Macaca fascicularis: one gene and its partner. The protein of the gene in region 2 interacts with the protein of the main gene of each other region in a pairwise test. Links are inferred from orthologs where the notes say so. Each region holds a gene or a part of one and is shown on either strand. Other genes may lie near its edges.

What was found.
Region 1: the proteins of PPFIA1 (region 2) and PTPRF interact in a two-hybrid assay, tested with the Homo sapiens proteins (2 studies listed by BioGRID). The link is inferred for Macaca fascicularis from reciprocal best matches to the Homo sapiens genes PPFIA1 and PTPRF.

The regions. Positions count from the first base shown.
Region 1 is NC_088375.1:191,242,436-191,247,089, reverse strand, and holds the start of PTPRF (receptor-type tyrosine-protein phosphatase F), read left to right. Parts: upstream 1-1,809; 5' UTR 1,810-1,965; coding exon of another isoform or gene 1,966-1,993; intron 1,994-4,654. UniProt on the Homo sapiens protein: Possible cell adhesion receptor. It possesses an intrinsic protein tyrosine phosphatase activity (PTPase) and dephosphorylates EPHA2 regulating its activity.
Region 2 is NC_088388.1:4,342,038-4,345,912, forward strand, and holds part of PPFIA1 (liprin-alpha-1), read right to left. Parts: intron 1,451-3,875; coding exon 1,304-1,450; intron 1-1,303. UniProt on the Homo sapiens protein: May regulate the disassembly of focal adhesions. May localize receptor-like tyrosine phosphatases type 2A at specific sites on the plasma membrane, possibly regulating their interaction with the extracellular environment and their association with substrates.

The DNA.
Region 1 (4,654 bases), on a different chromosome or scaffold from region 2:
GACGGGGTTTCACCGTGTTAGCCAGGATGGTCTCGATCTCCTGACCTCGTGATCCGCCCGTCTCGGCCTCCCAAAGTGCTGGGATTACAGGCTTGAGCCACCGCGCCCGGCCGGAAATATTCATTTTTGATCCGTTTGTCATCCAAACCAAACTGTCTGTCCAGAATCACCAGAGCCAGTCCCATCCCCTCCTCACACACCAGGGGGCGCACACGCACTGTTTGTGAATTCAAGTTCAGGACAAAAACAGGCAGTGAAATCAGGTGGTTACCAGAACCTGATCCCTCAGCCCAGATCCCTGAACATCACAGCAACCTTGCCCTGCACATTACCACGTGATCCCTGAATCCAGGCACCTCAACAATGTCCAAATTTTATTTCTCACCTGACTCCAAACTCAGGTGTTATACCAGAAACACCCCGCAGAAGAAACCCCACAGAGGAGAAATGTCATCTCTTCCTCTGCTCAGTTACCTGACCCAGGGCAGCGGGGGTAGGTTCCCCCAATCTTCATGGTGAAGCCTAGCAAGCAGTGGGGGAGAATGGGGGAGTGGGGGGTGGGGGGGGCGGGGCGGTAGATAGGAAAGAACTGGTGTGGCTTTGGCTGACTCTTCAGTAGTTGTAGCATGGATTGCATGGGGGCGGGGTCTGGAGGCAGGGGCTCTTGGGTTGAAGCTCATCAAATCCCTCTCATCAGTGGGTCTTGGAATAAATCTTCAGGTAGGTTGTTGGTTTCACCCAGACATTTCTAGGGTCATCATTTGAGTTTGATATGAGAAGTCAGAAACTCAATACTGAGATTTAAATTTGACTTAGAGGGCATTATCACGTCTTTAATTCCGAGGCCAATGTAAGGTTCACAGTTGGAATTGGTATAATATTGGGGTATTAGCCAGCCTCTGCTTGGGGTTGACACTAGGTCAGAGAAGTGGAGGGTGAGCATGAGGATGAAGGGGCTTTGTGTGGGGTTTCTGCAAAGCCAGTCTCATCTTGGATTCTAAGATTATTATTAAAGCTGGGTTGGTTTAGGGTCCTAAATGGTCTCAAGGTTGGGTGGGGTTTCAGGTCAGTATCTTTGTTTGGGGGTCCTTTTCTGGTGACTCAATCCCAACTCTGGAATTGAGAATCCCAATTCAGAGTGCATTGGTGTTGATCTGGGAATGGGAGAGCAGTACTGGAGTTTTATGTAAGGCTTGGGGTTCAGAAGAGAGAGAATTGGGGTCCATAGCAAGGTAGCTTTTGGACTTTAGGGTTCATTTAGGGACTGGGGGCTGAGCATTAGCACAGGGGTCCATTTAAGGTCCAGAGTTGGTGCTAACATCACTATCAAGGTTAGGGCAGGTAGAGTAATAAAGAGGTTTAGAGTCAGAATTGGTATTTGGGATCAGTACAGAGGTTCAGAACAAAATTCCTACTTGTGCTAATTTGGGGGCAGATTAAGGGCTTTGGATTCAATATTGGGTTTAGGGCAAGGTGTAGACTCAGTATCAGGTTCAGATCTGTATGGGGAGGAAATGCGGTCCTAGAATGGTATTAGGTTCATGCTAGGACTGGGAACCACTAGAAGGATCTGGATGTAGTATCAGAGTTTGGTCTGTCCATGTTCATTATTGGGGTTCGGGTTCAACATTGAGGTTCCGGTCGGTTTCGACTTGGCGTTGAGTTGTGGCCTCTCTGGGCCTCCGCGGCTCCGCGGCTCTACGAGCGAGAGTGCACGAGGGGAGGGGCGGCGCCGGGGGCGCGCACGGCAGGGGCAGGGGCGCGGGCGCGAGCGAGAGGGGAGCGCGCGGCTGGAGCTGGCGCGGGAGCGGCGGGAGCGGTGGCGGCGGCAGAGGCGGCGGCTCCAGCTCCGGCTCCGGCTCGGGCTCCGGCTCCAGCTCGGGTGGCGGTGGCGGGAGCGGGACCAGGTGGAGGCGGCGGCGGCAGAGGAGTGGGAGCAGCGGCCCCAGCGGCTTGCGGGGGGACATGCGGACCGACGGCCCCTGGATAGGCGGTGAGTGACCCCCAGGCCCCCCGCCAGCCCCCTCCGCGCCCGTCTCTTCCCCGTACTCCTTGCCCTCCCCGCTAGTCCACCCGGCGGAGCTGGGGGCGGTCCCGGGGGGACGAGGGCGCCGCTGAGGCCGGGCCGCGCCCCCACCTGCCGCGCCCGCAGCCTCGGCGAAGCCCCCCCCACGCCCCAGCCTGGCGGCTCCTCCCCGCTCACCCCGCGGCAGACGCGCCCCCAGCGCTGCCGGCTGGCTCGCTCCCCGCCGCCCCTCGCTGCCTCCCTCCCTCTCCGCCGCACCTTAGCCGCAGCCCGCCCCCCCCTTCCCCCGCCCAGCGCAAAGTTTCCCGTTTGCGCTCTTGCTCCCCCTCATCAGTCCCGCCTCGTCCCCCCTTCTAGCGCGGACGCGCTCCGGGGGCGGCCCTCAGACCCCTCAGCCCCCGGCTCCGGGCGGGTCCAGGCCGCGCCCCCGCCCCCGCCGCACAGGCGCCCCCTCCCAGCCGACGGGGGATCCGCAGCCGGCGCGCCCGGGTCTCGCTCGCGGCCCCGGCGCACGTGCAGTCCCGGGCTGCGCCGGGCGCGAGTTTGGAGCCCCCCACCCCCTTCGTTCGCGAGCACGGGTTGGGGAGGGGCTGAACGGGTTGTGCCCGCCCCCAACCGGGTGCAACGCCCTGGAGGCCCTGGAGCGACCTGTCCCATGAGGACGTGGCCACTCGGACCCGCTCCGAAAGTTCACTCAGCGGCTGCCCCGCGTCCTGTCCCGAGCCGTGCCGGCTCCCCATCGTCGTGCCCACGTCTCTGTCTCGGCTGCTTTCTGTTTTCCTTGGCGTCTTTGCCTCCCCGTGTCAGTGCCCCTGCAATCCCAGGGTCTCTCCGGCTGTCTCCGTTCTTTTTCCCCAGATCACATTGTTCTTTCTCCCCAGGTCTCTCCGTTCTGTCTCCCTGGGTCATCTTGTTCCCTGTTCCTGAGTCTCTCTGTTCTCTCCCCTTGGGTCTCTTCTGTTTCCTCTCCCTGGGTTCTGTCTCCCTCCTTAAGTGTCTCTCTGCCTCTTGTCTCTCACGCATCTCTTGGTGTCTCTGCACCCTCTGTGCTAGGCGCCCCCCCATTTCCCTGGAATGCTGCCCCTCTGGTTCTTCCACCTCGGAGGGGGAGGGGCTAGACTTTCTCCCCATTTCAAACCCCCCTGCCCCCCAGTGCAGGGCCCCTGAGTTGGAGCAGGTTGGGGGTGGGGAGCGCTACCTGCCTGAGCTGTGAAATGGGAGAGGGAGGCTGCCCCAGCCTGCGGGTTGTCTGGATCTCCCTGAGGGGCCACAGAGCAGGGCCGGGAGGCTGCATTAGGATGAGGAAGGCTCCACTTCTGAAGGAACAAGGGCAGAGATCCAGAGCGACCTGGTGCCAGATCTGGCCTGAGAACCAGGGAAGTGCACTGGGGTGAGAGGCGTAGAAAAGGATATGGGGTGTTGGTTCCAGGCGGGTGCTCATGGGGAGAGATCTGCTGAGAAGGGAAGATCTGATGGGGGATCCTTTGGGAGGCTTCGGGGATCTGAGGGATCCAGAAGAGAGTTCTGACAGGCTATCTAAGGAAATTTCTGTGCTTAGCGCCTTATTAACTCTTGCTTCAGGGAGCATGAAAATCCCTGTTTTTTACTGATTATATGAATGAGCCTAGGGCTCCGAGAAGGAGCAGGTGTAACTCCCCAAGTACAACCCCCTACATTCTCCGCCCCAGGCACAGGCCACAGTCTCTCCTACCCTCTTGCCTTCATTTCCACACTCAGCTCACCCCCCTCCACCCCCCCACACACTCCCTGTTCAGCTGCTTTCTTGACCCCACTCACAAACCTGGACCCGCATGCCGGCCAGTGCTCAAGCAATCTGTGCCTGCACACTCGCAGCACACCTGTGCACATGCACAGTCATCCTTGTGCATTTTTGTATATGCACTTTCTTGCACATTTTACTTGCTCAGTCTCCCTCATCATTTGAAGTGTCTGTATAGTGTTGTGTGTTTTTTTTTTTTAGTTTCTTTTTCCAACTGCTCTTCCTCTTCCCTCTTTCAACAAGAAAATTGTTTTAACATAATTCCTTCCTTTTTCCCTTTCTTCCTTCCTCTTGCAACTACTGATACCTCCCCTTTATCCAGCTTTGTGTGCCCTGTGCAGGTTGGCTTGGTGTACAGGGCTGCCGAGAGAGGAGGGGGTGGTTGGGTGCTGGTGAAGAAATTTGGCGGGGCAGAGTTATAGACTGCAGCAGACGTAAACTAGCAACACATCTTTTGTAGGTAATCGTATTGATATGCAGCAAAATACCAGCCCTGGCAATTTGGGCACAGTCCACCCTTTTTTCCATCAGCCCGAACTATGGGAGTCTAGCTTTAAGGATCCTCACTGGGGGCGGGGAGGAGGGGACCCAGACCTCCTGCAATAGAGGTTGTGATACATACCACGGCTCCTCCACTTTCCAGCTTCAGGCCTCAAAGAGGCCCCTTTCTCCCTGAGTCTCAATTTCACTCCCTGTAAAATGGGGCAGCTAATCCAACCCGGACTTGGTCCCAGGGCTGTTGTAAGAATCCAAGGGAACTGTGTGGCAGTGCATCATCAGCAGTGGCAGTCACTTCCCATGTGACTGACACTGCTGTGTGCTTGGTCCAAGCTTGCAGCCAGGGCCCT
Region 2 (3,875 bases):
TTGGCATGTTGGCCAGGCTGGTCGTGAACTCCTAACCTCAAGTGATCCAACTGCCTCAGCCTCCCAAAGTGGTGGGATTACACGTGTGTGCCACTGTGCCTGGCCTGGGTCAAATTTTCCTGTTGCCTGGAGTACATGCCCACTTTCCTGGGCTTCGTTTCAATGTGCAAAACACCTCTTGCCAAAGTATTTGCTCTTCCTAAATAACTTCTAAGAAACTTTTTTTTTTTGTTTAAAGACAGAGTCTCGCTCTGTCACCCAGGCTGGAGTACAGTGATACTCTTACAAGAGTAAGTATGGTTTAACGAAACCACAGGAGACACAATTTCTTACTATAGACTTCATTGCCTTTTTTTTTTTTGAGACGGAGTCTAGCTGTGTCGCCCAGGCTGGAGTGCAGTGGTGCAATCTTGGCTCACTGCAATCTCTGCCTCTCAGGTTCAAGCGATTCTCCTGCCTCAGCCTCCTGAGCAGCAGCTGGGATTACAGATGTGCATCACTATGCCCAGCTAATTTTTCTATTTTTAGTAGAGACAGGGTTTCACCATGTTAGTCAGGCTGGTCTCAAACTCCTGACCTCATGATCCGCCTGCCGTGGCCTCCCAAAGTGCTGGGATTACAGGCGTGAGCCACCGTGCCCAGCCGCATTTTTTATTTTAGACACGGGGTCTTGTTCTGTGGCCCAGGCTGGAGTCCAGTGGCACAATCATAGCACAGTGAAGCCTTGAACTCCAAGGCTCAAGTCATCCTCCCTCCTTAGCCTCTTGAGTAGCTAGGGCTAAAGGCACATTCCACCATGCCGAGCTAATTATTTATTTTTTTAATTTTCTGTAGAGACAGGGTCTTGCTATGTTGACCAGACTGTTCTCACATTCCTGGGCTCAAGTGATCTTCCCGCCTCAGCTTCCCAAAGTGTTAGAATGACAGGCATGAGCCACTGCGTCTGACCAAGACTTTATTTCTCATACCATTCATTTATCATAGTGCTCCCACTTAGTAACAAATAGCCAGTTGCCTTGAAGTTCTTTGCCACTCTCTCCTCCTTTGGTAAAAATGCTAAAAAGCAATAGATTAACTTTCAATTACAACAAAAGAAAAAATTGAGGACAAAATGGTTAAATCAAATCCTACGTTATCAAAACCTGTAAACTGAAGGAACTCCCACATATCTTGAACATAATATTCTAAGGTCATAAAAACTTGATATTTGGACTTGATTTCCAACATGAAAGTGAGAGAAAAAGGGTCTTTAATTTCATTAATAATTAACTGAAGCCAGACAAAGATCGATAAAATCCATTACCTGTCGATGCATAGAATCTTTATTTGCAATTTCATTTTCAAGTTTATCATTGAGGTCATGCACAGATGTGGCTTCACGCTGTGCAGCGAGGTAGCGTTTTTCAAGAGTAGTGATTCTCTCTTCCATGTCTTCCTTTTGGGCCATGGCCTAAATTAGTATTTCAGAGGGGACAAAAAAGTACGTAATTAACAGATTACACATTAAGATACTTAAGAGAGAAAAAAACTGAACTAAATCCCAAATTTCCAATCAAATTAAAAATTAGCATCTTCAGGCCAGATACAGCAGCTCACTCCTATAATCACAGTACATTGGGACGCTAAGATGGGAGGATGGCTTGAGGCCAGGAGTTCAAGACCTTGTCTCTACAAAAATATTGTATTTTATTTTTTGAGACACAGTCTCCCTCTATCACCTAGGCTGGAATGCTGTGGTGCAATCAGGGCTCACCACAGCCTTGACTTCCCAGGCTCAAGGGATCCTTCCACCTCAATCTTCCCAGTAGCTGGGACTACAAGCGCATACCACTATATCCACTAATTTTTAATTTTTTGTAGAGATAGAGGTCTTACTATGTCGCTCAGGCTGGTCTTGAATTTCTGGGCTCAAGAGATCCTCCTTGGCCTTCCTTTGGCCTCCCAAAGTGTTAGGATTACAGACGTGAGCCAGCATCCCTGGCCAAAAAAATTTTAAAGAAACAAAAATTAGCCACGCATGGTGGCATGCCCCTGTAGTCCCAGGTACTTGGGAGGCTGAGGCAGGAGGATTGCTCGAGTCCGGCAGTTCAAGGCTGCAGTGAGCTATGATGGCACCACTGCACTCCAGCCTGGGTAACAGAGAGAGATCCTGTCTCAAAAAAAAAAAAAAATAGTGTCCTCAAAATTAAATTGAAGACGACGTCAATTTTCTCAAATGTGAATGAAAATGTAACTACCTCAAATATCATATTCACCTATACGATTAACAAAGACTTGTCTCTCTTAATACTATGTCTAGCCACTCAGTTGACCAAGTTTTCCCATTTCTACATAATATTATAAACATATATACACTCAAATATCTAAATATTTTTCAAGGAGGTGAAAGTGACCTCAAAGACGACGCAGTCTGTGTCTGCCTCACGCTACAAATGGTCTTACACAGGACAGGGTGTGGCCTCTCTCAATGGATACAGTAGTGAGATACAAGTCTCACTTTCTAGGATAAGGGTTAGATGAAATCTCATACAATTACAAGATTCAGGCATATTGACAAATGGAAACAGAAGTACAAGTTCAATTTAATTGGACGCAACTACCTGAAGTCTGCAAGATGATTACTAAACAGTATCAAACACTTAAGGCTAGGACCAGAACTTTTTGCTTGTGAAATACCTGTCCTCCACCCCCAGAATTCACTATTTTCAAGTTGTTCCCTATTTATAAAATGACTAAGGTTAGCGAAGTGATAACTATTAAAAGTGACTACTAAAAGTCATAGGGGAAAAAAGCTCAACATCACTGATTAGAGAAATGCAAATCAAAACCACAATGACACAGGATCTCACACCAGTCAGAAAGGCTATTATGGAAAAGTCAGTAACAGATGCTGGTGAGGTTGTGGACAGAAAGGAATGTTTTCCTACTGTTGGTGGGAGTGTAAATTAGTTCAACCATTGTGGAAGGCAGTGTGGAGATTCCTCAAAGACCTAAAGATGGAAATACCAACCCAGAAATCTCATTACTGGGTATATACCCAAAGGAATATAAATCGTTCTATTATATAGACACATGTATGTGTATGTTCACTGTAGCACTATTCACAATAGCAAAGACATGGAATCAACCTAAATGCCCATCAATAGTGGACTGGATCAGGAAAATGTGGTACATATACAACATGGAATACTATGAAGCCATAAAACAGAATGAGATCATGTCCTTTGCAGAGACATGGATGGAGCTGGCGGCCACTATCTTTAGCAAACACAGGAACAGAAAAACAACATACCTCATGTTCTCACTTATAAGTGGGAGCTAAATGATGAGAACACAGGGACGCACAGAGGGGAACAACACACACTGGAGGGTAGGAGGAAGAAGAGGATCAGGAAAAATAACGAATGGGTACTAGGCTTGGTACCTGGATGATGAAATAATCTGTACAACAAACCCCCAGGACACAAGTTTACCTACGTAACAGACCTAAGCATGTACCCCAAACTTAAAAGTTAAAATAAAAAATAAAAAATAAAAGTGATAGGTCTTAAAAGAATTTCAAAATTCTCAGCATGTTAATCTCTGCCACATAATCTCCCGCTATAGCCAAAGAATAGAACCTAGCAGGTGATACAGCACACACACATGCTCTTCCTGTGGCGAATTCCTACATGAAATTACTCATGCCAAACTATCACACTGAAAAGCAGACGTTCCACGGTTGAGGCGCCTGACAAGGGACAAAGCGCAGGTTAGAAAGTGACAGGAAGGGCACCTGAGAAAGAACTCAGCCTCACTGTTCCATGATCAAATAGTTTCTCATAGTGATAATGGCAGAAATACTTGTCAGCAATGAGTATACTGCGACATATTTT